Linked DNA regions of Arabidopsis thaliana. The protein of the gene in region 1 purifies or fractionates together with the protein of each later gene. This does not show direct contact. Each region holds a gene or a part of one and is shown in the gene's direction. Other genes may lie near its edges.

The links.
Region 2: the proteins of UBA1 (region 1) and UBP14 fractionate together in Arabidopsis thaliana (co-fractionation; one large-scale study listed by BioGRID). This does not show direct contact.
Region 3: the proteins of UBA1 (region 1) and AT3G18860 fractionate together in Arabidopsis thaliana (co-fractionation; one large-scale study listed by BioGRID). This does not show direct contact.
Region 4: the proteins of UBA1 (region 1) and AIP3 fractionate together in Arabidopsis thaliana (co-fractionation; one large-scale study listed by BioGRID). This does not show direct contact.

Annotation. Positions count from the first base shown.
Region 1 is NC_003071.7:12,851,726-12,860,059, reverse strand, and holds UBA1 (ubiquitin-activating enzyme 1), read left to right. Parts: upstream 1-2,332; 5' UTR 2,333-2,549; intron 2,550-2,674; 5' UTR 2,675-2,690; coding exon 2,691-3,021; intron 3,022-3,383; coding exon 3,384-3,601; intron 3,602-3,898; coding exon 3,899-4,693; intron 4,694-5,105; coding exon 5,106-5,974; intron 5,975-6,299; coding exon 6,300-6,732; intron 6,733-6,831; coding exon 6,832-7,428; 3' UTR 7,429-7,731; downstream 7,732-8,334. Other genes in the region: AT2G30105 (LRR/ubiquitin-like domain protein), read right to left, coding at 8,152-8,265. UniProt on the Arabidopsis thaliana protein: Activates ubiquitin by first adenylating its C-terminal glycine residue with ATP, and thereafter linking this residue to the side chain of a cysteine residue in E1, yielding a ubiquitin-E1 thioester and free AMP.
Region 2 is NC_003074.8:7,202,286-7,210,725, reverse strand, and holds UBP14 (ubiquitin-specific protease 14), read left to right. Parts: upstream 1-2,178; 5' UTR 2,179-2,385; coding exon 2,386-2,481; intron 2,482-2,584; coding exon 2,585-2,756; intron 2,757-2,849; coding exon 2,850-2,962; intron 2,963-3,064; coding exon 3,065-3,401; intron 3,402-3,629; coding exon 3,630-3,724; intron 3,725-4,411; coding exon 4,412-4,545; intron 4,546-4,620; coding exon 4,621-4,677; intron 4,678-4,785; coding exon 4,786-4,863; intron 4,864-5,132; coding exon 5,133-5,187; intron 5,188-5,297; coding exon 5,298-5,321; intron 5,322-5,462; coding exon 5,463-5,543; intron 5,544-5,678; coding exon 5,679-5,877; intron 5,878-5,960; coding exon 5,961-6,018; intron 6,019-6,093; coding exon 6,094-6,219; intron 6,220-6,308; coding exon 6,309-6,397; intron 6,398-6,490; coding exon 6,491-6,580; intron 6,581-6,821; coding exon 6,822-6,992; intron 6,993-7,087; coding exon 7,088-7,200; intron 7,201-7,296; coding exon 7,297-7,426; intron 7,427-7,549; and 3 more. Other genes in the region: AT3G20640 (basic helix-loop-helix (bHLH) DNA-binding superfamily protein), read left to right, coding at 1-72. UniProt on the Arabidopsis thaliana protein: Recognizes and hydrolyzes the peptide bond at the C-terminal Gly of ubiquitin. Involved in the processing of poly-ubiquitin precursors as well as that of ubiquitinated proteins. Involved in seed and embryo development.
Region 3 is NC_003074.8:6,499,613-6,508,236, forward strand, and holds the start of AT3G18860 (transducin family protein / WD-40 repeat family protein), read left to right. Parts: upstream 1-2,055; 5' UTR 2,056-2,161; coding exon 2,162-2,227; intron 2,228-2,665; coding exon 2,666-2,997; intron 2,998-3,313; coding exon 3,314-3,417; intron 3,418-3,634; coding exon 3,635-3,703; intron 3,704-3,913; coding exon 3,914-3,974; intron 3,975-4,188; coding exon 4,189-4,328; intron 4,329-4,749; coding exon 4,750-4,939; intron 4,940-5,113; coding exon 5,114-5,175; intron 5,176-5,351; coding exon 5,352-5,440; intron 5,441-5,917; coding exon 5,918-5,990; intron 5,991-6,070; coding exon 6,071-6,130; intron 6,131-6,226; coding exon 6,227-6,373; intron 6,374-6,460; coding exon 6,461-6,499; intron 6,500-6,602; coding exon 6,603-6,640; intron 6,641-6,725; coding exon 6,726-6,812; intron 6,813-6,916; coding exon 6,917-7,082; intron 7,083-7,403; coding exon 7,404-7,481; intron 7,482-7,590; coding exon 7,591-7,727; intron 7,728-7,986; coding exon 7,987-8,063; intron 8,064-8,185; and 6 more. Other genes in the region: LPAT5 (lysophosphatidyl acyltransferase 5), read right to left, coding at 1-359, 464-594, 675-1,228.
Region 4 is NC_003070.9:2,808,855-2,813,404, reverse strand, and holds AIP3 (ABI3-interacting protein 3), read left to right. Parts: upstream 1-2,091; 5' UTR 2,092-2,278; coding exon 2,279-2,290; intron 2,291-2,378; coding exon 2,379-2,495; intron 2,496-3,219; coding exon 3,220-3,480; 3' UTR 3,481-3,627; downstream 3,628-4,550. Other genes in the region: AT1G08790 (1-phosphatidylinositol-4,5-bisphosphate phosphodiesterase epsilon-1, putative (DUF1685)), read right to left, coding at 759-841, 927-1,416; PRA1.E (prenylated RAB acceptor 1.E), read right to left, coding at 3,843-4,472.

The DNA of each region.
Region 1 (8,334 bases):
ACATTTTGTTAGTGCATTATTTCTCTACAATTTCTTGAATACCAACTGTTTGAAAGAATAAAGAAAAAGGCAGAGTGTGTTTGTTCTGTTCCATGCAACCTCTTACACACTCGAGTTCATCCTCAGTCACGGGCAAACAACAGTTGATGCAATTCCTCTCTGGCAAATTTCTCCACCTTTACAGAACTAACTTCACTTGATTTGTATCAGTAGCTACTGATACAAATCAATTTGCAATCTCCTCCTCCAAAAGTTGTAATAATGGGTGCTAGGGGATAAAAAGAAAGAACAGAGGCATACATCAAAAGCTAGCTTTATCAAACCACATGCACAAAGTTTACTCAAATCAATATCAGAATCAGAAAAACAAGCTTAATCAACAAGTTTACATTAAAGTGTTTCCTTATCATATAAGAAGGGGATTCCTCTTTCTTTTTCCCAAGCCTTCACTTCAATGATTAGATCTTCAATCATGGCTTAGAAAAGAAACACAATACTATCATCTTAAGTCTTTGTTCATTACTTCAAAAAGAGAGGGTAATAGGGTTACGCGTATAAAGACTCACCAGGAATTTGCATGACAAGACTCTTAGCACGTTCTAAGTGTTCGTACTCTCCTCTTACGAGTTACAAGATTGAAGAGGTTTCCATCCTATAAAGACGATCAAGAATATATAATAAGAAATGCTTACTTTAATCAAGTCAATCTTCTCTTGATGTATCACAGGTCTTCACCTACCTTTTCGTAGTCACGAAGCCATTTTTCTTCTTCCTTAGCTTGCTTCCAGGTTTCAACTGCATCTATTATGCCTTTCCTTCTTAAAGCTTCAGATTTTGCTTCCTCATATTAGCATCCAATGCAGCACCAATATCAGATAGAGCACGATCACCTGACAAGATAACTTATCTTTTAAGCATATCTAAATTGCTGTTTTTTTCTTACAAATAGAAGAGTTCTTCACTTACCCTCATTATCAGTTAGCTCAATACTGCCTGTCGAGCTCGACAAAATGCCTTTAACTCGTATTGCTTCTGAAGTACATTCACCTTCAGGGTTTCCCCAGTTTTAGTTTTCTTTGCCACTTTGTCAGCCTTGTCTTTATTAGCAATCCTCTTCGTTTTGGGAGCACCAGTGGATTCCTTTCTTTTACCAGCATCATTAGTACTCGTCTTGGGAAGATATTTTGCACAACTCCATTTTTGTTTTTTCTTAGGGTGATGAATGACTTGGCCTGAGGTGAGAAATTGAGAGTGTAGAGACTTTTGCCTTTGTAGTTATACTCTGCCAAACTCCATCCTTTTAGCCAATCATCCACAAACTCTATGGGTAAATCATCATGATACCTTAAGTAAGCTAGTTTAGAAGAAGTGCTCACAACTTCTTGACCCATTTGAAACTGATGAACATAGTAATTGACACTGCCCCACTTTATAAGAGCACCATTGCAATTAAAATATCCAAGATGAACATTTTTAGTTGGATAAAAGAAGACCCACGACTTGTTGCTTTCTCCCTCTAGAAATTGAAAGTTGATGAAATCTCACTCCCATGGACTGCGATCAAATATTTCAAGATCGTCTATCCATGGAATTGCAACATCAACTCCAAAATCTACACTTTTAACCAAACTAATCATAAGTTAAATTTCAATTTACAATCGTTTATTAATATAGTGATTAAGTAAGTTATCAAGTATTAATTTATAGAGTTTTATTTTTGTATAAACTAACCACGAGTTAAGGAGGTGTTATTGGTTTATGATTTCAAAAGAGTTTTAGTGACTTAAAGTATCATGTAGAATCTGTTGTTATTTAATCAAAAAAATTTAAAAGTATGTTAAAAGTTTGTGTTATTCATTAAAGATTTGTAAAAAGTAATCTAAAAATCTTCATAAATTTTAGATTATTGAATTCATACTTTTATAAAGTCAGTAAATTTTTTGTGTTATTCTATTAAAACAAAAAAATCTCTGATTGTTTATGATTTAAATTATTATGTTATTGGTTCATGACTTTCTACATTTTCTTTCACAAAATAAAGTCATAGAAAGTCATGAATTTTTTTTCAAAAGATTGTTTTGAGAAACTTTAGAAGAAAATGTATTTAATTATAATATTCATAGCTGGAAATTGATCTAATATTTAATTATAATATTAAAGTTTCCAGTTATCCAAAAGAAGATGTGAGTTTTTTTGAACTTGGTAATTAAAAAAAGAAAGCAATATTTCAGATTTAATACAGATTCATAAGAAGGATCCATAAGAAATTAACTAAACCGGATCTGGTCTTGAAATAGTGACGGACGCGTGTCCCCCGGTCAGAGAGTTGCCGTCACAATCACGCGGAGAAAGAGCGACAAATCAAACCTTAACCGTTAAAACGTCATCGTTTCATATCCCCCCACAACCGAACCCCTTTCGTTCGCCCGTCTCTCTTAAATAAATCTTAGAGATTTCTGCAAAATTCGTCACTTCAATTTCAATTTTCAGATCTCAAAAACTTTTTCTCTTTTCCGATTCCAATCTTCTCTCGTCTGCTTTCCTCAAAGGTACGTTTTATCTTCCTTCTCATAGCTTCCGAAGAATCAATCTAGGGTTAGGTATTTCAATTCTGATCGGATTTTCTCTCTTCAGTGTTCTCTAATCTAATGGGAATTTCACATGTTTTCTCCAGGTTTTTTCATCACTTTATGCTTCACAAGCGAGCTAGTGAAGCTAACGATAAGAACGATAATACCATCATCGGTTCCGATTTAGCATCATCTAAGAAACGCCGTATCGATTTCACTGAATCTTCGTCTGATAAGTCTTCTTCGATTTTAGCTTCTGGTAGTAGCAGGGGTTTTCACGGCGATAGCGTCGTTCAGCAAATCGACATGGCTTTTGGTAATTCGAACCGTCAGGAGATTGATGAAGATCTGCACAGTCGCCAGCTCGCCGTCTATGGTCGTGAGACTATGAGGCGTCTCTTTGCTTCCAATGTTCTCATCTCGGGGATGCACGGTCTTGGTGCCGAGATTGGTATGTACTTCATTGGTTTTATGTTGAGATTGTGGTCTCCCTCGTCTCTTTGGTTTTTGAAACTTGTAGAAACACTGTTTTCGTATGCGTCGTTATTAGAAGCTGTGAATAATTGTGTCATCTTCAAAGATTTTACTCTTTAGTTGTTTTGTTTTGGTTCTCCTGATCTGTGATTGCTGGTATTCTTCAACATCCAAATCTTAGTAGCTTCCTGATGTTCCTTAGTTGTTCGATATCTTTGTTATTGGGGTTTCGTTATATGCCAGTTTTCTAAGATGCATGGTAAATGTGAACTGTTAATGATACTTTTTAGTCGATTGCTTTCTCATTCAGTTTTTGTTTTATTTGTTGATTTTCTTCAGCCAAGAATCTTATACTTGCTGGTGTGAAGTCTGTGACCTTGCATGATGAAAGAGTTGTAGAGCTATGGGACTTATCAAGCAACTTTGTTTTCTCGGAGGATGATGTTGGCAAGAATAGAGCAGATGCTTCTGTTCAGAAGTTACAGGATCTTAACAATGCTGTGGTTGTCTCTAGCTTGACCAAAAGCTTAAACAAAGAGGATCTTTCTGGCTTCCAGGTTTGTAGACAACTCATTTGTCTTGTTATTGGTTCTATATGGTCTGAGTCTTTTGTGTACTGTATCGTTCTGTAGATTACTTGTGAGTTTATGATAACACTGTAACTGAATGAGTAACATAAGAGTGGGTTGTTCTATTTTCGTTGCATATAAGAGATGGGTTTTGTCTCATTTAGTGTTAGGCTATTTCTAGTGTTTATTGATATTGATATGGAAGATTGGTGTACACTTTTCTCATTGGTGTGTGTTTCTTGTTGGCGGGTTTTACGCTGATACATCTACTTTTGTGCCAAACAGGTTGTTGTATTCTCTGACATAAGCATGGAAAGAGCAATCGAATTTGATGACTATTGTCACAGCCATCAGCCTCCTATCGCTTTTGTCAAGGCTGATGTCAGGGGTCTTTTCGGCTCTGTCTTTTGTGATTTTGGGCCTGAATTTGCGGTTCTTGATGTTGATGGAGAGGAACCCCATACAGGCATCATTGCGTCTATCTCTAATGAGAACCAGGCATTTATTTCCTGTGTCGACGATGAGAGGCTTGAGTTTGAAGATGGTGACCTAGTTGTTTTCTCAGAAGTTGAGGGTATGACAGAATTGAATGATGGGAAACCAAGGAAGATAAAAAGTACACGGCCATATTCATTCACCCTTGATGAGGACACTACTAACTATGGAACATATGTGAAGGGTGGTATTGTCACTCAAGTGAAACAGCCAAAGTTACTGAATTTCAAGCCATTGAGGGAAGCGCTTAAGGATCCAGGGGATTTTCTATTTAGTGATTTCTCTAAGTTTGATCGGCCTCCACTCCTTCACTTAGCATTCCAGGCACTTGATCATTTTAAAGCTGAAGCTGGCAGATTTCCTGTTGCTGGCTCAGAAGAGGACGCTCAGAAGCTTATATCGATTGCCACAGCCATCAATACCGGGCAGGGTGATTTAAAGGTGGAGAATGTTGATCAGAAGCTTCTAAGACACTTTTCCTTTGGAGCCAAGGCTGTCCTGAATCCTATGGCTGCAATGTTTGGCGGTATTGTTGGACAGGAGGTTGTTAAAGCTTGCTCTGGAAAATTTCATCCTCTCTTCCAGGTAAAATTTCTTTTCTATAGACTTGTGAGAACACATATTTAGTCTTTGCATGCCAAGTTCTCTGTTCGAGTTAAGAATTTTAAACACTAGAATTTAAACTCAAAGCTCTCTTTTGTTAAAACCGAATCAAAGTAACAAGACAGAAGTTGAAATACACCCAAGAGTAATTAATTCCTAAGCTCTCTTCATCCCTATGTAATATATTAGAAGCTAAATGAAAGCTGTTTAGATAAAGTAAATAAAGAAATAGAAATTCTAATGAAAATAAGGAACATTATCTAATACGCATCTCTCCTTTTTCCTAATGTTTTATGTTGTGGGAAGTTACAGCTGTTTCCTCTTTTTTTGATACATTTATATTGTTTAAAGTTTCGTATTGGGATCTGATGTTGTGACTCTTTTTGTTTATCAGTTTTTCTACTTTGATTCAGTGGAGTCACTCCCCTCTGAACCTGTGGACTCGAGTGACTTTGCACCAAGAAACAGCCGGTATGATGCCCAAATATCTGTATTTGGGGCCAAGTTCCAGAAGAAACTTGAAGATGCTAAAGTTTTCACAGTAGGGTCTGGTGCTCTTGGCTGTGAGTTCTTGAAAAATTTGGCTCTGATGGGGGTTTCTTGTGGAAGCCAAGGGAAGCTGACAGTGACAGATGATGATATCATTGAGAAGAGTAACCTCAGTCGTCAATTTCTGTTCCGTGACTGGAACATTGGACAGGCTAAATCCACAGTTGCTGCTTCGGCTGCTGCTGTTATAAATCCTCGCTTCAACATTGAGGCCCTGCAAAACCGTGTTGGCGCGGAGACTGAGAATGTATTTGACGATGCCTTCTGGGAGAACTTAACTGTTGTCGTCAATGCACTGGATAATGTTAATGCGAGGCTCTATGTTGATTCGAGGTGCTTGTATTTCCAGAAGCCTCTCCTTGAGTCTGGAACTCTTGGTACAAAGTGCAACACACAGTCGGTTATCCCACATCTAACTGAAAATTACGGTGCCTCAAGGGACCCACCAGAGAAACAGGCCCCCATGTGTACAGTGCATTCCTTCCCGCATAACATTGATCACTGTTTAACTTGGGCTCGCTCTGAGTTTGAGGGTCTGCTGGAGAAGACTCCCGCTGAAGTGAATGCATATCTTTCTAGCCCAGTTGAGTACACTAACTCAATGATGAGTGCTGGTGATGCTCAGGCGAGGGACACATTGGAGAGGATTGTTGAGTGCCTTGAAAAGGAGAAGTGTGAGACCTTCCAAGACTGCTTAACCTGGGCACGACTGAGGTAATATCACTCTTAATAGTTAGTTAGATAGTCTAGTCGTAATATGGAATGAAATATAGTCCGGTGTCTTACTCATGTCCTGCTACAGTCTCCTATTTTATGCTTTTGTCATGTGCTTCATCCCAGGATTGCTTAATTATTCGTTGAAAACATCATTACGAAACTAAAAAATAAAATAAAAAACTAGGAACAGTGTTATAAGGTAACTTCATTTCACAACAGGTAGCTACAACCAATATGTAGAAGTGGGAATAAATCGTTTCCTTCCTCTGTGGAGTCTGTGATTTTTGCAATAATTTATGTGTTTGTTATGTTATGTGACTAGGTTTGAGGATTACTTTGTGAACCGTGTCAAGCAATTGATATACACATTTCCTGAAGATGCTGCGACTAGTACCGGAGCTCCATTCTGGTCTGCTCCAAAAAGATTCCCTCGTCCACTCCAGTACTCGTCGTCCGACCCAAGTCTCCTTAACTTTATCACAGCGACTGCTATTTTACGAGCAGAGACATTTGGGATCCCGATACCTGAGTGGACTAAGAACCCAAAGGAAGCAGCAGAAGCTGTTGACAGAGTGATAGTCCCAGACTTTGAGCCAAGGCAAGATGCAAAGATTGTGACTGATGAGAAAGCTACCACTTTAACCACTGCTTCGGTGGACGACGCTGCAGTCATCGACGATCTCATTGCTAAGATCGACCAGTGTAGGCATAACTTGTCGCCAGACTTCAGGATGAAACCTATTCAGTTCGAAAAGGTATATTACCCTCCAATGTTATCGTCTTCACTGATATTGACTTGTCTTGTTTACAATTTTTAACTGAGTGTTGTCATTTTGAATTTGATGTGTTTGTAGGATGATGATACAAACTATCACATGGATGTGATAGCAGGACTAGCCAACATGAGGGCGAGAAATTACAGCATCCCTGAAGTGGACAAGCTGAAAGCAAAGTTCATAGCAGGGAGAATCATCCCAGCCATTGCGACTTCAACAGCCATGGCTACTGGGCTGGTCTGCCTCGAGCTGTACAAGGTCCTTGATGGAGGACATAAAGTGGAAGCTTACAGAAACACATTTGCCAACCTGGCACTTCCACTATTCTCCATGGCTGAACCACTTCCACCAAAGGTGGTGAAGCACCGTGACATGGCTTGGACAGTTTGGGACAGATGGGTTCTCAAGGGAAACCCAACTCTTCGTGAGGTGTTGCAGTGGCTGGAGGACAAAGGGCTTAGCGCATACAGCATCTCTTGTGGAAGCTGTCTTCTGTTCAACAGTATGTTCACAAGGCACAAGGAGAGGATGGACAAGAAGGTTGTGGATCTCGCTCGGGATGTTGCGAAAGTCGAGTTACCGCCTTATCGCAACCATCTTGATGTAGTGGTGGCTTGTGAGGATGAAGATGACAATGACGTCGATATTCCTCTCGTCTCTATCTACTTCAGGTGAAAAGTTTCGAGAGAATGAAGAAAGATGAAACTCTTGAGAGCAAATTTGTGTGTTTTGTCTCTGCATCTGCCCTACGTTATTATCTTTTGGATGCTTGTGGGTGAGATAACTGATTTTTACTTGAGGGGGATAGAGACTCATTTTATCTCTCTCGTTCTATTTTAGTCTTTCTTTCTATGTACAATTGCTGAATGTGTGGTTTACACACCCGTTACCTTCTAAACATGTTCTATCAAACAAATCTTCGAGTTTTTCGGTTTTTTCCATGTCTTCTTGCAGGTGGTGTTTCGCGATAAGAATCCGAAAGATATAATCTACCTTAAATAATATCCACTCTGTGAATCTATTTACAGAGAACAAATTGAAGCAAAGAACTAAAGATATAATCTAGGGTCAAGTCTCGAGCACCACCTTCTCTTAACCCCAACCCAAGATTCTAGACTCAAAAGCTGTTTGCCTTTACTTCCTTTTTACCGGTTATACTGACTGACTCGGCTATAGAATTGATGAGCTTTTTTAACAATAGGTATCGTAGTTTTCGTTTATTCGGTTTCATTGCATAAATTTTGGATTCAATTTGAGAGTGGTTCAATTTATTTGGTACACTACAATTCAAATTGGAGTAAGCAAACAATATATAGGCATGAAGGAGAAAGATTTTTTCACTGAAAGTGCCACAAATATATTAAGAGTACTGACGATTCGAGACTCGACTTGGCTTGATCACCAAGATTTATCAGCGCCTTCGTCGAATTGGCCAGATCCCACAACACGAAAATCAAGCTGCTTTTGATGCTTGGTACGTCTTCTTTCATCAAAATCATCATATCCCTCGAACTGTCATAATACAAATATCCTTGTTTCAGTTCAGATAACGAAGAAAGAACTATAGACTCAAAACATGAA
Region 2 (8,440 bases), on another chromosome or scaffold:
AGCACATTTCCAGTGACACACGATACTACAGTAGATTTCTGGACTCCTACATTTGGTGGGACTTTTAGATAGATATATAGACGGAAAATCGTATATTAGATGTCGGGTAACGTACGTATCTTTTTTAACTTATAATATATACGTTGATTGCTGATAAGAATCACCGCATTTTTAAACGAAGAGGAGATAAGTTAATGGACAAGTGAAACGTGTTGTCCATTTATACTTCTTATTCATAGAACTAAAAAATAATGTGTAATTGAAGAACCATGCATAGATATATAAGAGCTATTGAGATTTGACATGTATTTTTTCACACGACCAAATTAATTCCAAACATATATCTATAGGTTTTTTTGGGGGGTTATAATAGTTATGTATGAAAGATAGATGTTTTTTTTTTTTTTTTTTTTTTTTTTTTTTAACATTACCTTCATTTATAAAACGAAATCGAATACACACCGCCTCCAAAACGAGTAACACCTACAAAACAACAAAGAAAAGTAAAACAAAGCATATGATCAAATAAAGAGACCGAACCAAGTGGCGAGGTACGATAAACCATTGGGGCCAATACGTTGAGCTCGTGAGAGAGGATCAAGATGAGTGCGAATAAGATTCTTTATCTCCATAATCAGTCCAGCAGCAGGTCTCGAAGAAGAAGTGTGCAGACGAGTGTTCCGTTCCCTCCAAAGAGTATAAACATTGATTCAGAGAAGAATAGATGTTATGTATGAAAGATAGATGTTAAGTTATTCGTTAGAGAAGAATGTAGGGATCTATAATGTAAGTATTGTCTTCATTGATTCAGAGAAGGAGAAAGGTGATTTAATTATGGAGAAAAGGAGCTTTTGTTTCTTCCTTTTTTTAGCTATTCTAATTTTTGAAAGGGAATAATTAGATTCCACGAATAAGAGAGAGTAATGTGTTAATATGCATATTTTGATTGGACAAGAGGAAAAAAATCTTGGGACAGATATATTTTTATAACTTTGGAATAATGTTAGTGGAAGTAAGATATGGCCCACAATGGTTTTTACTTTTATATCAGAAAGGTTCTTTATTGAACACTTGTTAAAGAAAAAAAAAGCATTTCATGCTTCCCAAAAATCCGCCTCCTTACATTTTCATTAAACTGAATTATTGTTTAAAGGGATACGAGTATTTTCAAAAGAGAAATAGTTTTCTATATGGAGAAACTTGTATGGAAAAAAATCGGCTCTGCTATTTTGTTGTCAACAACTCTAGTGGATTTAGGCCTTTTTAACTTCTTATATAGAAATTTGAACCAACACAGTGAGATCTAAGGACATGAAGTTAGATCACTGACCTATCAATTCCAGTTTGATTTTGATATATCATTGTCCGTAAAAAAAATATGAAAAATTTCTAAAATTGAGGTAACTGAAAAAGGTGACTTCTGTTCTCTTTAGAGTATTGTTATCCCGCGATTCTCATTTATACTATTCATCAAATTACCACTAGTTCATGCATAAGTTATACATTGAGTCATTGATAAACGATATATACTCGGACTATTATTAGTATTATAGTTTTCAGCACCACATGTAAAGTTGTCTTGTTTCGTAAATATAGTTTTCGTCGACACTGTTGTGGATGTATTTGATTTTAAATTCTGAGAAATGTACAGACTTGTGATATTCCGTGATTGGAATTGGCCTTATGAAAACAAGACAACTTTAATTAGCTAAGTAGCCCAAAAACACATTAATTAAACAATCGAGTTGAACCAAAACATTTTAGCATGCTAGAAGAACCAAGGAATCTTTGTGGAGTTGGATCTGATTCATCACCATTGTTCATTCTTCATAAATCATAAGCATTCATATATTACATGAACTTTGAATACCTCTTTTTCCCAAGAGTAGACATCCACCTTTTTTTTTTCATTTCAAAAATCATCAAACGATATCCTCACACTTAGTAATTTTCGTGTTGAACAAGAACATGTAAAACCCACATTGGCCACATTGTGATTTATGGTTTCTTCTTTTGATTCATTCTACATCCATGCATATGGGTCAATCAAATAGTCTTGGGTCTATTGGGTAAATACAAACTCTAATGGGCTGTACAATATTCTTTTTGTGTATCCAAACTCTATCCTTAATTTAGAATATTTTCAAAATTAACCCAACAAAAAGTCGGTTAACGAAATTTCCCCAAATTGACAACAACTTTTGCTTTATTGCAATTCTCCCCAAAACCTCAGGCAATAAGAAAGGAATTTAGAAGGACGACGACGTTTCTCATCATCCGTACCTTCCTTGTTAAGTTGTAACGGAGACGTGTGATATCACTCAACAACACATATCTGTCTCTCCGTCGTCAGAGAGTTTCTTTCGCCGATTTCGCAAAAACCCTATGGAGCTCCTCCGATCCAACTTGTCTAGGGTTCAGATCCCTGAACCTACTCATCGCATCTACAAGCATGAGTGTTGCATCTCCTTCGATACTCCGGTAAAGCCTCTCTCTCACTTCGTTTTCTTCTTCAAATTCCGACTACTCTCGACTCTTCTCTCGTTTTCTTCGGTTTTGATGAATTCGCAATGATGATTTTCAGAGATCCGAAGGAGGATTGTTCGTTGATATGAATAGTTTTCTTGCTTTCGGGAAGGATTATGTTTCTTGGAACTATGAGAAGACTGGAAACCCTGTTTATCTTCATATTAAGCAGACTAGGAAGTCTATTCCCGAGGATCGGCCTCTCAAGAAACCGACTCTGCTCGCTATAGGTATATATACAATGATGATTACAATGCCGTATCTATACTGATTTTTGAACATAGAGTCGAGAGATTGGTTTTGAACTGTTAATCAATTTGCAGGTGTTGATGGAGGCTTTGATAACAATGAGCCAGAGTACGAGGAGTCTTATAGCATAGTCATACTTCCGGATTTTGTTTCACTCCCGTTTCCTTCTGTTGAGCTACCAGAGAAGGTGTTTGTTAGCACTATGTTGTTGATTTTAGGTGTGTTATCAGAGAGTGGTTTATGGAAAACACATTGCATGTATTTAGCTTTTTGTGATTTGTTATTGCAGGTGAGGATTGCTGTCGATACTGTAGTGAATGCCGTTGGTGCTGAGCGGAAAGAGCAAGTTGCAGCTTGGACAGCTGAGAAAAAGTTAATTAGTGAACATGCATTGACACTGCAGCAAATCAAGAGTGGCATTGTCATTCCTCCCTCTGGTTGGAAATGTTCTAAGTGTGATAAGACGGAGAATCTCTGGCTTAATCTTACCGATGGAATGATTCTCTGTGGAAGAAAAAACTGGGATGGAACTGGTGGAAACAACCATGCTGTTGAGCACTACAAAGAGACAGCCTACCCTCTTGCTGTAAAGCTTGGAACTATCACTGCTGACTTAGAAGCAGCAGGTAAAGTTGTCTTGTTTCCTTATTCGTAGAACCAGAGATTAGTCATTAAACTTCACTTTTGTGTATGGCTAATATCAGTTGATAGTTGTCTCTTTGGGGTGGATAAGGGGGACTTCCTGCATCACTTTGTTTTTTTTTTTTAATGTTGATGCATGTGGATTATCTTGTTCTTTGGATGGGTTTTGATTTCTTCAGCACTTAATCATTGCAAATTTTTTGGCAGCTCAGATGTTTATTCCTATCCGGAAGATGACAGTGTTTTGGACCCGCTCCTGGCTGAGCATCTGGCCCATTTTGGAATTGACTTCTCGTCGATGCAGAAGGTTAGTAATGATGGTTCATGGTTCTGTTAAAGTATAAAAGTGAAGAGTGGATCTTGTCTGACACTTTATATTGTTGTTTGTCTGTGGTAATGAATTTCGTGTACTGCATTTTTATTAGATACTCAAGCTTAGGTATTCCCATAATGATATGGTTTGTTAAGATACCCATCCTGGGTTGCATTGGCAAGTGCTGGTTGTACTAGAAAGCTTATGTCTTGTGTTCATTTCTTTCTTCAGTATCAATTGCCACAAAACAACTGTAGAAACATGGAATATGTCTGAGACTAAATGTTTCTTTACCAAGAGCAAGTAGACTCACATCAGTGTTATTGCGTACTTTTTTATAATTGCGATTAAAAAGACGCAGTGCACTTGGAGAATGTAATTTCAGGTCGTTTTGAGACAATAATTCCCATTCACGCGTTCAGTCTGTTTACTTGTAATTGTTGCGTCACATGTAAACATTTACAATAGTAAACTGTATTGTGTCTTTTTTCCTCATTTTTCCTTGCTCCATGTACTGCTTAAGTTAAGAGGCTTCATTTCCCAAAGCATAGGTTTTATAGTCACCTGTATTTGTTTTCTTGTTTGTACTGCCTTGATCATCATCTTTGCTAAAGATATCCCATGCTGGTTTTAATCTGAATAATGTTAACTTTCTTGAAATGTTTGCTACAATTTTCACAGACTGAAATGACAACTGCTGAAAGAGAACTTGATCAAAATACAAATTTTGATTGGAACCGTATACAAGAGAGTGGAAAAGAATTGGTGCCAGTTTTTGGACCTGGATATACCGGACTTGTCAATCTTGGGAACAGGTACTCTAATGGAAAAATTGTCAGGGATTTCGTTTCCTTGTTGATGTCTTATGCCCATTTCTTTTCTTTTGCCAGTTGCTACTTGGCAGCTACGATGCAGATTGTTTTCTCTACCCATTCATTTATTTCAAGGTAGATGCCATTGCCCATATTTCTTTTTCACTTATATAACTTAAATCAAAACAAAGCTTTTGCTCTTTGATTCAACTGTAGTAACTTTTGGTTCTGAGATTGTTGCAGATACTTTTCACATCAGAGCTTAAAGATGGCTTTTGAGATGGCTCCTGCTGATCCAACTTTGGACCTCAATATGCAATTGTGAGTTATTGTTAGAAAAAATGTTACTAAGTTTATGCTCTGGACTTTCTGAAATCATGTGATTGAAATCTTGGCATCGTTATGATGAAAGGGTTTTAAGATTATATTTGTGCATACTCTGTATCTGCATGCACGTGCTTTAGTTTCTGTTTTTCTCTCCGTTTGGTTTGATATGCTGTGCACTTTTTCTAACTAATCTGATTTCCATGAGGAATAATTGCATGGTAATTTGCATATTTATTTCATACTCCTTGCACTGTTGGTTGTAGAACAAAGCTTGGACACGGCTTACTATCTGGGAAGTACTCAATGCCTGCAACTCAGGTATAACTATAGTAGGAAATATTTTTGCTTGTATGCATATATATATGTATATGATCTAAACCACCTTTTAGAGCCTCAGTACATTGATTTCGCCTTTCTTCTGATTGCAGAAGGATGCTACAACTGGAGATCCTGTAAGATTTTTATTTGAAGTCCTGTGTTTAACTTTTGAATAAATATATGTATGCGGATGGCCACACTTTTTTTTTTGCATACCCCACTTGTGTTGATTTCTGATGACTTTACATCTTGTTTCGTTTTTTAATCGATAATAGAGACAAGAAGGAATACCTCCTCGCATGTTCAAAAACGTAATTGCCGCGAGCCACGCAGAATTCTCTTCTATGAGACAGCAGGTGAAAACCATGTCTTTTTTAATGTTCGGAGTTTTGTTTATTTTTTAACTTGTATTGGAACGATACTCCTTTTCGGCATCAGTTAACGAAATTATTTTATGTTTTCATACTAACTAGCACCAATCTGTCTTGTAGGATGCTCTCGACTTTTTCCTCCATCTGGTAGGCAAGGTTGAGCGTGCTAGCAACACGACACCAGATTTAGACCCCTCGAGGAGCTTCAAGTTTGGAATAGAAGAGAAGATCCTTTGTCCGTCTGGAAAGGTTGGATATAATAAGAGGGAAGACTGTATTCTTTCTTTGAACATTCCGCTACATGAGGCAACTAATAAAGGTATATCCTGTTCGTCTGTCTATGTTCCTCTTCCTTTATCGTTTGGCGTGTTTCTTAATTTTGCTTAATGTTTGGTGATCAAGATGAATTAGAAGCCTTTCACAAGCAAAAAGCAGGAAAAGGATTGGAAGAGAATGATATGTGAGTCAATGGACTTAAGTTTAAATCTGTTTCATAGTTTCACTGCTTATCTAAGATTTTTTTGTTTATTTTCAGGAGGTCAAGTGATGAAATAGTACGCCCACGAGTTCCTTTAGAAGCCTGTCTAGCAAATTTTGCATCATCAGAGCCGATTGAAGACTACTATAGCTCTGCTTTGAAGGGAATGACAACAGCTATCAAGTAAGATATTGTTTTTTACCGAGTGAATTCTTTTGCAACCAAGATTAGAATGAAAGCAAGGCTTGACTTTTGGTTCCCATTTTATGCAGGACAACTGGTTTGACATCTTTCCCAGATTATTTGGTCTTGCACATGCGGAAATTTGTTATGGAGGAAGGCTGGGTGCCAAAGAAACTTGGTCTCTTTCTTTCTGAAACAATGATCCTTATAATGTTCCCCTATTGTCCCTGTATATAAATACTTATTATCCTTTCTTGATTTACTGTGGCAGATGTATACATTGATGTTCCGGATGTTATTGATATCAGCCACATGCGTAGCAAAGGACTCCAACCTGGGGAAGAACTGTTGCCAGATGGCGGTATGTTGTTATATTTATCACAGGAGTGGTGTGTTCATAATTCACATAAATAATGATTGATTGACTCCATTTATTGATTGTTTCAAACTCGTGGTATCTTTTCTGGTGTCATGACTACTAGCCTTTGGAATTAGCACTCAGTTTCCTAATCATTAAAAAGTATCAGCATCCCTTAAACGGTTTCTTTATGGCACTCAGTCTCCTTATAATTCTGTTGGCTATTGGATTTTTCTGTATACAGTTCCAGAAGAAGTGATGGAATCAGCGCAGCCCGTGGCAAATGAGGAGATAGTTGCACAGCTAGTCTCAATGGGATTTAGCCAGCTTCACTGCCAGAAAGCTGCCATAAATACTTCCAATGCTGGGGTTGAAGAGGCAATGAACTGGTTACTTTCTCACATGGATGATCCAGGTAATTGAAAATAGTTCCACAAGTCTTTAGTTGAGGCTCAACTAAATTACGACTCGAGACCGATTTCTAATATGATGAGGCATTATGTTTCATAGACATCGATGCACCAATCTCCCACCAGACATCTGACATTGATCAATCAAGCGTTGATACCTTACTCTCCTTTGGTTTTGCTGAAGATGTTGCTCGGAAGGCACTAAAAGCCTCGGTATAACACTTTTGAGCAAATTAGTTACATTTCTGCGAGGCTGTTTTTTCTTTACTCATTACTGAAATCGGTTTTGTTTTTTTTGTCTTTAATCAGGGAGGAGACATTGAGAAAGCAACAGACTGGGTATTCAACAACCCTAATGCATCTGTTTCAGACATGGATGTATCCTCTAGCAATTCAGCGCAGACTCCGGCTCAAAGTGGATTACCAGATGGAGGAGGGAGTTAGTTTCTTAAACCCTCTTTTGAGTCTTTCTATCTCATTTTGCAAAACAAATGTTAGTGTTTCGTTTTTTCCACAAAGCAGTATGAATAAAACTCTAACTCAAGATTGATCTTAAATGCAGAATACAAGCTGTTTGGAATAGTAAGTCACATGGGAACATCAGTGCACTGTGGTCATTACGTGGCTCACATATTGAAAGAAGGCCGCTGGGTAATTTTCAATGACGACAAAGTTGGTATCTCGACTGATCCTCCTAAAGACATGGGTTATGTCTACTTCTTTCAGCGGCTTGATTGATTCGATGGAGCCAGTTACAGAGACAAAAACTAATCCTTTTTTTTTTAAATAGAAACTTTTAAGGTCGATAGGGTTTTTAACATTTGGATTGAGGTGACCCATGTGACTAGTTTCGGTTCCAAAATCTTACATGTGGATTAGTAAATTTGGTTCACTTGATGATTTTATCTGTGGAACTTCGTCACAAATTTTAAGACCCGTTTAGAAGCTAAACATCATTCGCTGTCTTTTTAATTTGCCTCCTCAGTTCTCAACTACTTTCAGTTTTTTTTTTTTTTCTTTTGGATAAAAGTTTTGAGCTTTTCCTTCAGTTTTGGCATCATTGGTGCTTAGATTTATGAAAAATGAAGATATAAAAGGGGAATCATAAGTGTTTTTTTTTACATTAGCAGAAAAACTGTTGATTAAAATATTTAATCTCGGGATACACTGAAATTGGAGATCTTTTAATTAGTTTTTAAGATCAAAAAGTGGGCTAATTTGTTATATAGTTAACACTGGCCATCATTATAATCTCGAAGAGAAATAACACGAATTGTTTCTTCTTCTCCAAACACGTGTTCTTCAAATTCGCTCATATTATTCTCGATTCCCACAAACAGAAAAAGAAGATACTAAAAATTATAAAATCCCGATAATAGAATCATGAAATTGTTTCCGTTTATGGGTGTTTTAATTGCGTCTAATCGGAATCTCTTGCCGTTATCGTCTGCTT
Region 3 (8,624 bases), on another chromosome or scaffold:
GTAGACACAGGCCAAAGAGACATAAATCCTGAACCAAATCATTGATGAGAAGAAGGTGAGATGTGTACAGATGGTGGTGAAGGCAATCACTGCCAAACAGTTTATGAGGTACTTCTTTGTGTTGAACTCTTTCTCTGTTCCTTCGTTAGGGAAATGACCATTGGAGTAAAAGTCATTGAGCAGCTGGTCTTTGAGCTGGAATGTGTTCATTAACCAAGCATTGATGTCCTTTTCTTGATTTGGGATTTGGGTCAGGTTGATACGACGGATGTGGATGTGAACTTCTGATGGCTCAATTCCATAAACGTTGTCTAAGAAAGATGGGCAGCGGGTTTTATAACCGATGGTCACATCATAAACTGCAAGTGCAATAGTGTTGCATCAGAGTTTGCGTTTTTCAAGAAGAGAGGAAAGGCCTAGGATCTTAAATCACTGATGCAAACCAGCAAAAGTATAGACAAACCTGCGTCAAGTGAGCAACTCAGTTCTTGCAAGCAGGAGACGAAACCTTTTGTCCTGGGAAGCAGCACGTTGTTCAGTATCGGAAGGCCATTTTCAGCAGCAAATTTCTTACTCCTTTGGCATTTAGCCTCTCTGCATAAAGTTCCATTGTAAAATGCTTTTAACTAAAAGGTCTCTAAACAAGAATGATACTCCAAAGAAAGGAAACGTACGTGTAATCTGTGCCCTCGGGGAAAAGAGCAAGCCATAAAGCGTCTCGGGGATCCTTAAAACTCGAAACTATCTGTCTCAAGTTTGCTTCATCGACTTCCCATCTCCTCTCAACTGGAATAAACTCAAAGAGGTGAAACGCCCAACCAAAGAGAGGTAATTTCATCAAACTACTCTTAAGCACATATTTGATATTCCCAATCTGGCCTTTACGCAGTGCAAGATCCCAGAAGTACATCCAATCAACTTCTGTTCGGTGGTTTGCAATGAGCAATACTCGATCCTCGCAAGGAACCTTATCACCAGAGAAGATAACTTTGGTTTTGTTAATCTTCTCAAAGAGGAAAGGCCACAAGGCGAGCCACGAGCCAAAGAAGAAGGAAACACATTTACGGCTATAGCGAATGCTGAAAAGCCTCAACACTACAGCTGATAAGAACCCCCAGAATATCAACATCATAAAAGCTGTTGAAACTAACACCATCAGACATATTATACCTCTTAACACTCTAATCAGAGACAACTTATCAGAATTTGGTACACTCTTTTTTTCCATTTTATACACCTTAAGATAATCTAATTAACCTCCCCCTTCTAGTCTTCTATTCTTGATGCAATGAATCACAAAGTTCATGAATTTCCTGTTACCAGAATCACCATCAGAGCTCATATGGTTGAACACAACATACTTCACCTGCAGGTAATGATCAAAGACACATCAAAATAAGAATCGATAGCAAAGTACTTTATCAACAGAAAACGAAAACAATGTCTTGTAATTTAATAGACTTATTCAAATTCATACAATCTGATTAATGTTGGATTAAAATAAAGAAGAAGCTTGTATTCTCAAACACATATATACATTGTCTAAAACAAAAACTCTCACCAAGATAATCAAGATTCAAGCACAAATCTCAGTGAGGATTAAAAAAGCCAATCAAGAACACAGCATTTGTAAAATTTATTATTGGAAAAAAGAAATTCAGACAGAGAAAGGAACCAGATAGAAGAAGACAGCTTACCATGGAACTGAGCTTCCAGGTTTTATTTATAAACAAACAGTGCAGAAGAAGAAGAATTTAATGGCCGAGAAAAATATCATGAAGGACTACGATCGTTTTGTGAAAATAGGCTCAGAGGTTGTTGCTAATTACGGTCTATGCCACTTCTCGTAGAAAGTAGTACTCTTAGGAAGGTGAGGAAATTTAAACCACTGTCCCCTCCTTTTTCGTCATTATTAAATTCGACACGTCATCGTGTTTCATTGTTCCCTTTATTCAGCTTATTATTATTTTCAGTCTATCAATTGGGCCGGGCTTTGAAAGCCCACAAAGGTTATTTATTATACGTTTATCCTTATATAAAAGAAAGGAAATAAGAAATTAGTTTTTCTCCTGCAGAGTGTTTCTCCTTCCTCAAGTCACTTTTTGAGTCGCAGCAATTTGGCGTTTGGTATCTCTCAATCTGCTGCTTCTCCTTCTCAGTCATGGTCATGGATATCGATTTCAACGAGTACAAGCTCAGGTGCGAGCTTCATGGCCACGATGATGATGTAAGATCTCTTTGCTAAATCCACTTCTTCTTTCTACTGTTTTGATTTCTCGTTTTCGTGATCGATTCTACTCTAGATTTTGAAATTAAGTCTTGTATTCAGTAGGGTTCAGCAAAATTCACCCTCGTGATTCCAATTTCACTGTTCCGCTTTTGATCCAGGGTTTTTCAATTCAATGAGCTGATTTGATAGTTAGTGTGAAGCTTTGTTTTGATTAGTTTTATTATTAGGTTGACTTCTCAACGAATTTGTACTCAATTTGAGAATTTTATCTAATAGGGTTTGATGTTTAACCTTGCGTGCCAATGGCATTAATATAGATCAAATTTATACAATTTTTCGGCAGGAGTGTGATTGTCTTTATGCTATTGAGCTTATGCAATTGAATAATAACTGTGATTGTGACAATGGAAACTCATGGTTTATCAACATCTTCAGGTTCGTGGGATTTGTGTGTGTAATGATGAGAATATAGCTACTTCATCAAGAGATAGGACCATAAGGGTTTGGTCACTGGATCCATCTGATAAGCGCAAGTATACCTCCGAGAAAATTCTGCTGGGTCATACTAGCTTTGTTGGGCCACTTGCATGGATCCCACCAACTGATGAATACCCTGAAGGAAGACTTGTCTCTGGGAGTATGGATACTTTCGTTTTTGTTTGGAATCTGATGAATGGAGAGAATATTCAGACATTGAAGGGTCATCAGATGCAAGTCACTGGTGTTGCTATTGATAATGAGGACATAGTTTCATCTTCAGTTGATCAGTAAGTCCTCCTGTTCATGTAATTTCCTTAGTATGACATTTACCAACTGTTTAGTCAATAATGCCTCTTACTTAGTATCCAGTGAGTGTACTAGCCTGCGGTTTTCCTTCACTGTTTCCCAGGAATTGTATCACATACAGGATATTATATGAATCTTAACCGTAGTTGTAAAGGTTTTATGAGTGTTAATTGTGTGCATTATTGTCTTGAGTAGCTTACTAGCTTTAGTAATACTGGGGTAAAGAGATCCATCAAATTTTGATTTACCCTCTACTGTTGTGTAATGTAACTTACATTTATTTATTTTTATTTGTAGAACCCTGAAACGATGGAGAAACGGTCAGCTTGTTGAATCTTGGGATGCACACCAGTCGCCTATCCAGGCAGTGATAAGGCTGCCATCTGGTGAGCTCGTTTCAGGTACATGATCCAGCTAAAGCTGTCATTTGATGCATTTGTTTCTGTTTTTTTTGTTGTTTTCTTGCTGCCATGGACTTCCTTATTCGATTGTATTTTCTAGTATGATCGTTTTGCAAGCTTAGGTTAAATGATTTTTTGGTTGTTCTTAAGATGCATATACTTCTTTTTGATTAGGCTTGACGGCATATTTTTCACTGATGTTACTTGTACTTACCAGGTTCAAGTGACGCCAGTCTCAAACTCTGGAAGGGTAAAACGAGTCTGCAAACTCTTTCAGGGCATACAGGTGAATTCATTACTCTCTCCCAAATTTCGTATCTCTCAAAATTTCCTTGTCAATATGAGAAACTGCATACCGGAAATAAGATAGAATCTGATACTAGCTGCTCTAAGATATCTTATCTTGTGAAGTGCCAAGACACTGGCCTGTTGTCAGGGATTCCTTGTTATTGGAGAAACTATTGTCTTATACAAGTATTTTTATTTTACAATGCAGATACTGTTAGAGGGTTAGCTGTGATGCCTGATTTAGGATTTCTTTCCGCATCACATGATGGGTAAGTTATTTGCTTCCAACAAACTCATGCCTTACTGAATTTCATTGTCCAAGTGAATCCTTATGTGCTTAACTCGAATTGTGTTGTCTTTTGCATGACCTGGATAAGTTTTGTGATCCGGGGATAATATGATACTTGAGTTTTCTCTTATTTATCCTTTCATGTGTTTGTACACAGCAAAGGTTGTAAATCACTATTTTATTTTTTCTAACAGTTCAATCAGGTTATGGGCACTAAGTGGCGAAGTTCTTCTTGAGATGGTTGGCCACACCTCCCTTGTTTATTCAGTTGACGCACATTCGTCTGGCCTTATTGTTAGTGCCAGTGAAGATCGTCATGCCAAGATATGGAAAGGTGATTACGGGTTCCTTAGTTTCTATTGATGCCTTGGCTGTTCTTCACTTATGTTTCACAGTTTTCTAGGTTATATGAGGTCTGAGATGTTTAAATTTGGAAAATATGTCTCCACTTTTCAGTATGTTGCTCGCTCTTAAAGTTTTCTTTCAATAATAAAGATGTCTATATATCATATTTTTGTGGAAGACGTGTTATAAATTTGATCACTTAGTTGCAACCTATGGAAAGTTAGTTGTTAGTATGTCAGACAGTAATCAACTGATCAGAAACCAGTTTGAAAGGCTCACGAAGATTGGTCTGCAATAGCTGTTATAATAGATATCACTTGCGAAAAGAGACTGACATTTTGGTTTAAAGCATGTTTAGATCTTATAGGTTGATCTATTGTTCTTACTTTGTTATTTTTGTTTTGGTACAGATGGAGTCTGCGTTCAGAGTTTGGAACACCCAGGCTGTATCTGGGATGCCAAGTTTTTGGAAACCGGAGATATTGTGACAGCATGTTCAGATGGAGTGGTTCGTGTTTGGACAGTACGTCATGATGCGATTGCAGATCAGATGGAGATTGATGCCTATGATTCCCAAATTTCTCAATACAAACTAAGCAGGTAATCTGATCATTTATGGTGATCTCTATTCTTATCGACTAAATTCTATGTCCATTGAGTTTTTTTTCTTCACGTGGCAATGCATATTATATGACCTGCTGACGGGGTATGCTTTCTTGTCTTTTATGCTCAAAATATAACTGCAAAGTATATGCGTGCTGTTCTTTATCTCAGGAAAAAGGTTGGCGGATTGAAACTTGACGAGCTGCCAGGGCTTGATTCTTTGACGTCACCAGGTACCATTTATTATCCAATTAATTGTAATATTAATGTTTCGTACGGGAGAAAGGCTAAATTTTAAAGAATCTCAAGAGAACACAAAGATAATTGATAGTGTCTGGCGATCAAATTTGAATAGATTAAGCTGGCATTCTTGTAACATCATCCTCTCTTATTTGATATATGTTCTCAGGTACCAGTGATGGCCAGACAAAAGTAGTAAGGGAAGGAGACAATGGTGTTGCTTATGCATGGAATATGAAAGAACAGAGATGGGACAAAGTAAGTAAACAGAATGAACTTTTATCTTTTTTTTTATTTGTCGACTGCATTTCGTTTTTGCTCTTGACCTGAATGCGGCTTTGCTATATATTAGATCGCATGCATGAATATACAGATAACTTCCCTTTGAAACAATTACCTTGAGGAATATTTGTTACTTTGTTCATCGAAAAGTTGCCATCGGATTAGGGCTTGTAATTTCCACGAATGAGCATGCTGTCTGGTCATAAATTGATAGCATGTACTGCCAGCAATTTGCCTTTTGCGAGGATTTTATTTAATGTGGCAACCCATACCTGAGAGGAAAATTTCATCTGATTTTGACTTCTGATCCTCCTTCGAAGTAGCAATCTCTTAAGTAGATAGCAAGTAAATGAGATAGATTTCTCTCTAACATTTGTTTGCATATGAAGGATTAAACATTGGCTTTTTAGTGTGGTAGAATGTTTTGAGTTCTCACTGCATGCCTTTTTTCAGATTGGTGAGGTTGTTGATGGCCCAGATGGTGTGGCTGATCGTCCAATTCACGAGGGAGTTCAATATGATTTTGGTTAGATTTTGACCTATTATGGAAACTTGAGAATCTCTCAAAATCGAAGAACAAAATTCTTAGCCCTTTTTTTTCTCTAGTTTTCGATGTTGACATTGGTGATGGGGAACCTATCCGGAAGCTACCTTACAATCGATCAGGTACCTGAATGCTCTTACTGGCCTTGTTTTATTACAAGTGCAACCACAAGAAACTGCTTCAGTTTTTGATACTTCAAATCTTTTCTTGTTTGGCAGACAATCCTTATGATGCAGCTGACAAGTGGCTTCTAAAAGAGAATCTCCCCTTTGCATATCGGCAGCAAATTGTTGAATTTATATTACAAAATTCTGGGCAGAAAGACTTCAACTTTAATCCATCTTTTCGTGATCCCTTCACCGGCGGTATAAAATTTTTGAAAATAATTGGTCTGAAATTTTGTTTTTAGGATTTTATTTTAATTTTGTGTTTTGCCTTTTATTGTGTAACAGCAAATGCTTATGTGCCTGGGCAAGCATCTCGTACAGCTGGTATGAATACACTGTCTGTGTCATTTTCACATAATACTTTCAATTTCTTCATTTCTTGTATTGTTCTTTTGCTGCCTCATGCTCTGACTCTTTTCTGTTGCAGCAACTCCGGCAAAACCTTTATACAAGCACATTCCAAAAGTACGCTGGTTCTCTTTCTTTATTAGTTATTACTGTTTAATGTTTCTAGCTTTTTGATCCTTTTTTCTTCCATAACTCTCTCCAGAGAGGTGTGCTAGTTTTCGATGCTGCTCAATATGACGGGATTCTGAAAAAGATGACAGAGTTCAATACTACTTTACGATCTGACGCAGTAAGCTTTCAGTATCAACTTTAGTCACACAAAATGATTAAATGGTTATTTTACTTATACTATTGTTGGTATTTATGTTTCTACAATTTTTCCATCTTTTGAAGGTAAACAATGACAAGTCCCTGACCGAACTCGAAGTATCCAGAGTAGGCGCAATCGTTAATATACTGAAGGACACATCACACTACCACTCTACCAATTTTGCTGACATGGATATTGCTTTGCTTTTGAAAGTGCTACAAGCATGGCCACCGGCAATGATGTTTCCTGGTTGGTCTTCTCTTGTCAATCAATTAGTCAAACAGAACTGTTTATTACATATTGAACTTTTGATGGTAGCCATATGTTTCTCAATATTATGAAGCCACAGCAAAGTCAGTTTTTTCCGAGATGCTTGTTAAACAATCTAAAATGAGATATGTTTTGGTTTATTTGGATGTTATTCTTGGTCTCCTTGTGTTTCTTTTGATGTTTCTTGCAGGCCATAAAGCATTTTGCCTTTCGCTGGCCACTTTATTTTTGTCTTTTGTTGGATATAGCCTTATGTTTATCTTGTGTCAAGCTCTTATACCTATGGTTTTGAATATGCAGCTACTGATATAGTAAGGATGCTCGTTTTGCATCATCATGGAGCAAGTCTACTTATCAAGCATGTGGAAAACAACAATGGTAATCATCTAATTCGTGAAGCTATGCTTTCTCAACATTAATGAAAGTACTAGCTAGTAGGTAATGTCCTTTATTAACTGGTATCTCTCTGTTACTATATATCAATCAGACCTGCTTTTGGATTTGATAAAGAAAGTTACAGAAGATTCTGCTCTTCCTGCAAATCTTTTAACGACTGTTCGTGTCCTTGTTAATCTATTCAAGAATTCTTCATTTCATTACTGGCTACAGACGCATCATAGTCAAGTAAGGACTCTTTCATTTCTATGATTTTATACCAGAACTAGGATGTGTGATGATCTCGATGAACCTACTAATTGGTTTAGCTGTGACTTGCAACCTGAGGAGAAATTTTTGGGTTTTATGTCTAATATACATTGCTTTTTTGCGTCTGGGCATATAAATTAAGTTTCTAATTACATTTAAACATAAGATAGTGCCTATACATGTGTGTGTTTATTATAATAATTTGAGAAGTGGTTTTAATTGCTGTGGATCAATGCAGATTCTTGATGCCTTCTCAAACTGTTATTCATCCCCAAATAAGAATCTGCAGTTGGCTTATTCGACGTTGCTTCTCAAGTAAGATCTCTCTTATATTACTTTCTTCTAGTTGGATTTTTGCCAAATTGTAGCTTTATTCTATTATTAAACTCTCTGTGGAGAAAGATCAAACCGTAATCTATGCTTTTGTTCTTCCTCAGTTATGCAGTGCTATTAATAGAAAAGAAGGATCAAGAAGGTCAAGCTCAAGTCCTTTCAGCAGCTTTGCAGGTACGCCTAAATTTGGTTATTTTTAACCACTGTTGCATACATCCAAATCCTATTCATCGTCACCGAGTTGAATCTCATCTGTTTTTATTTTGTCTCTGTCACTTGCACAAATCTCTGAGATCAAAGTAAAATCGGAGAAGACCAATGTACCAAATAGTTTATTATCATTTTTTTGGTGCTAAAAATATTTAACTTATTACTACAGGTAGCAGAAGAAGAAGCTGCAGATGTTGATTCCAAGTTCCGGAGTCTGGTAGCAATTGGCTCACTGGTTAGTTTCCGCAACAACTAGAGTAACGTAATCCACTTGTTGTTAATTACATAATTTAATCGGTGTGTGTTTGTAACAACAGATGCTTGAAGGTCTCG
Region 4 (4,550 bases), on another chromosome or scaffold:
TATTGTAGAGGAAACTAAAAGAAGTTCAAGATTCAAGAAGCTTAAAGAAACTGTATAGCATCGTCTTCATTGCCTTCCCCTTTCGTATACGATAATCTCAGAATTCTTTACGATTTCATTTTTGGGTTTGGTGTTCATAATTTCCTTATGGGTTTTCATATTCTTTGTGTTTATTTTGCATTTTTCTTCTAGTTTTGAGTGAAGAGTGAATGTAGGTTTTGTTCTGAAGTTCTCATTTGATTTTTTTTATTAGGTTGGTTGATACTTTTGTTTAGCATGTCAAAAGTCATGCAACTTTGTTAAACTTGTTGTACATTTCTTCGTTATAAACTACTTATACGTAATGTCCTTTGTTAAACTCATATTTCTTTGTTGGTGTTAGGACCTCGAATTTGGAAAATAACAAGAAGGTTGATACGCATAATACAAACTTACAAAAGACAATTAAAAGAGGAAGAGAAGCCAAAACCTAATATCTAAAATATTTTCTTACTGTTAAAGTAGTGATATCTAAAAAATTAAAAACTGTCTTTGGCGAAAAAAAAAAGGGTTCAAGAATAATAACATGTAAGACCACCATGCATCATTCTTATTTCTTCTTTTAGTTTGAACTTCAATAATCCGTCCTCCTCTGTCTTAACCAACTCCTTAATTAATCTGTCTTAAGCTTCCTTAATTTCTACAACACTTCCTTTGTCTCAACCAAATTTGTGTAGTATCATTCATGTCCCACTCTTGTACATCTCTCACTTCTATGCTTAATTGGAAGATTGTATCACAGAACATGCCACAGCTTGTGCCCAATGCCTCAGTCTCGTTTTAACCTGTTGAGGATCATCTCCTGCAAATTTATAGAATATAACATCAAAACACAATCATATTATGAAAATATCAATCTGACGAAAAAGTTTAGGTTGCTATGTTACCTGGAGACATAACCTTCAAAGAATCAGAGTCGCTTATTGGACTACCAAAAGAGGAAGATCGGTCTCCGAGGGAAGTAGGACGGGAGGATGAAGAAGATCCACCACTGCCTGGTGTAGAAACCGGCGAGATCTGACGAGTCACAGCGAAGTAAAGGTCCAATGCAGGCAATGTAGTTGTAAGATGTTGCCCTTGCTCCTCGTTAAACCCGAACCCTAACTCAATAGATCCTTTGAGCTCACTCAAGTCCTCGTCCGTCAAGTCATCTCCTCCTTCGTTATGCTTCTCAAGGTGATGGAGCATCTGGCGACGGCGACGCTCCCATGCGATGTCTCTACGGGTCTCTAACATGGAGAGTTGCTTCGAGAGACGTTTCTTAGCCTTAGCTTTCGGTGGTTCCAATGGCATCTTTTGAAGCTCTTCTACTTCGCTGTCGTAGAAAGATGACGACGATGAGGTTGATACACTCAATGCTTCTCCAACCCTCACCATCTTTCTCTGTTGTTAATATAAGAAATCGCAGGCACGTTTATGATTATCAACAAGGGGCAGAATATTTTTGTGATGATGTGCCTTGTTGTACAAGTTAGCTCATGTAAGCGAGGAAAAACAGAAGAACTTGAATAGATTAGTGAAAATCCCAGAACTCTGATTCCCTTTAAAAAATGTTCATCCCGGAAGAAGAAAAGGGGTAAGAAGTTTTTTCTGTTTGGTTTATTTTATTAATGTACAGAAGGAGATATGTTTTCTGGTGAACTTTAATGGTGTGATATTACAAAACACAGAAACAATGAGTTTCTTCTACCACACATTTGGTGTTGTTTAAAAGTAGGGTTTGTAGAATTTCCATTTGCCATTTTTAAAGGGATCTCTCTGTTAATTCCCTGGGGAGATTCTGGAGCTTGATTGATTATGGAGACAGAATCCAAAAACAAACCTTGGTGGTTTTTGTTGGAATAACTAACTCTTACTTGATATAGGTTTTGTTCTAGAAATTTTTGGTGTTGTTGTTGGTCGAAACATATTACTAACACTTGCAACTAACAAGATGGTATAACCACTAAACTAGTACAAGTATCATTTAGTTAATTAAACATGTTAGTATGTTACAAAATTTACGAATCAATAACGAAATAAGCAAAATAACCAATTCCAAGCCAAGTGGGACAAACTCGACCGAAAAGACCAAAAATCAATCATAATTTGGTATCAAAACCATTATACCGGGAAGTACCAGAATAACTCGGTTGGGCCTAGCCTCTAATAAAAATCGGTCGGGAAAGAAACTCACAACTCTCTCTCACACAGCAACGTTCTATTGAAATTTGGCCTGAATCCCCAGAGTGCGACGAAAATGCAGCAGCAAGTAAGAAAATCATCTCGAATAGGAGTAATTTATTTTGTTAGCATCTTCTTCAATTGATGCTAATGGATGGTTGATGATGATGTTGCAGGGGAGTAAGAGTGGATCTGAGATGGAGGTGACATGGGAGGACCAGCAGAACATTAATATCTTCAGCCGTCTCAACAACAGAGTCCATGACCTCGATGACGATATCAAATCCGCCAAGGTTCTCTCTTTTATGTATCCTTGATTTTTTCTTCTACACGATTCTAGGGTTTTAAGATTAGGTTTTATTCATGGATTCAATTCGCTATGTTGCATCGTTTAGGTGGTGGAATACTGTGATTAGATCCAATCCCGTAATGAATTCACCAAATAATGAATCTACTACACATCGGTTTGCTCTCAGCTAACTGATTAACTCCTTGTTGATGAAATGAAATCAGCACTGCTACAACCCGATACAAAAGCTAATTACAATGATCCTGAGAGTATATGATAAGTGTTGTTGGTCTAGTGTAGGATCATGATTAAGATTATTTGAGATAATTCCTGATTTTATTGATTGTTGTAAATTGTAATTTTACTTCATTCAGATAACCCCACAAGAGAATCTCTATACTCTCATATCTCATTTTACATTCTCTTTAGGTTGTACCAATCTACTGTAACCTGCTTATACCATCCGTGCACTCTTACATATCACTGCTCCCTTAACTTTCTCCTTCGTTGGTGAATATAAGCCTGCTAGGGTATATCAGATCACTGTAATTAGATATTGTAATGGTGTTGATAGTTCAGCATGTGTAGGAAACAAAAAGGGAGATGTGGGACTTTGCAATAATAAGTGGATACTTGTCTTGTTCAATCGTTTCATTAGGGGGATTAAAACAGCATTCTACTGTGTGTTTCTGCATCTAGCTTGATTAAAAAACAATTGATTTATGCAGGAAAAGTGTGAAAATCTAGAGGATGCAGGGAACGAGTTGATCCTTGCTGATGAGGAGATGGTGCGTTTTCAAATAGGAGAAGTGTTTGCTCATGTGCCGAGGGACGACGTAGAAACAAAGATAGAAGAGATGAAAGAAGCGACCTGCAAAAGCCTTGAGAAACTCGAGCAAGAGAAGGAATCAATTGTAACACAAATGGCAGCGCTGAAGAAGGTATTGTATGCTAAGTTCAAAGATTCTATCAATCTTGAAGAAGACTAGTTAGTAGTTATTCCCAACTTTGTTTTTCTTCTATTGCATCAGTTTATGATTCTACTGTGAGTGTAGACCAAAGGATTCTTGAATTTAACATACTGGTTTTGTTCATTATGAAATTTCATCTGGTTAATGCATACTTTTCTTTTTCTATCGGAAATTATGTTTTTGGCAATTCTATAAAATACCATAACACCAATTTGTTTTTTCCCAGAATTTGTATACATTCAAACAAAATGAAACACACACGCCAAAATATAAATACAAGAATCTTTGGGAAATCCAAAATACAAAGCCCTAAATTGATTCCCTTAGCTTCTTCAATCAAAAACCCAAGAAATTACGAGTAATTCTCCAAACCGGTTTACTCAAATTGGGGTATAACTCGACGGTGGCCGGTTACCAGAACCGGCAGACACCAGGCCACCACGGCGAGCACTTTCTTCATCAAGAAACAAATCATCGGTATTACGAAAAGCGCCGTGAGCTCCGACGATGAGCAAACCAATGATCAGCGAAACCAGAACGTTTTCGCCCACATCTGTATATACCAATGCCAAAACCGTTACCAAGCTGAGTAAAACCAGCACGATCTTGTCATCTACTTCTTTCCCCGAAATCACAATCGAATCGTTTGCGTCTCGAGAGAAATAGAGAAGAATCCATCCGATGAAGACGACGATGAAAGCGATCATAGACATCGGATGGTAAATAAGGCCGAGGAAAACAATGGCGAGAACGGCGAGAGCGTAATTTCCACGGAAATAAGAGATGTTGTGCTTTAGATGCGCCATGGCTTCATCATACCCGCGAGGGAGAGAGAGCGCGGACAGATCGAGAATCTCTCGCCATGGACGGAGCGTCGTGATCATCGATTGCGTCGTCTGCTTGGCGCGTGCACTCAACGTCCCGATGATTGTGGTGTTGGAAGTGGAAGAAGGACCGACTCCTCCACCACCAGCGCCGCCATAACCGTACGGCGGAGGTTTCTGATTCATCGGAATTGGTTGATTTTGTGTTTGAAAATAACACAAATCTGTGGTCAAATGGCAAAACCTTGGATTTCAAAGAGTCCA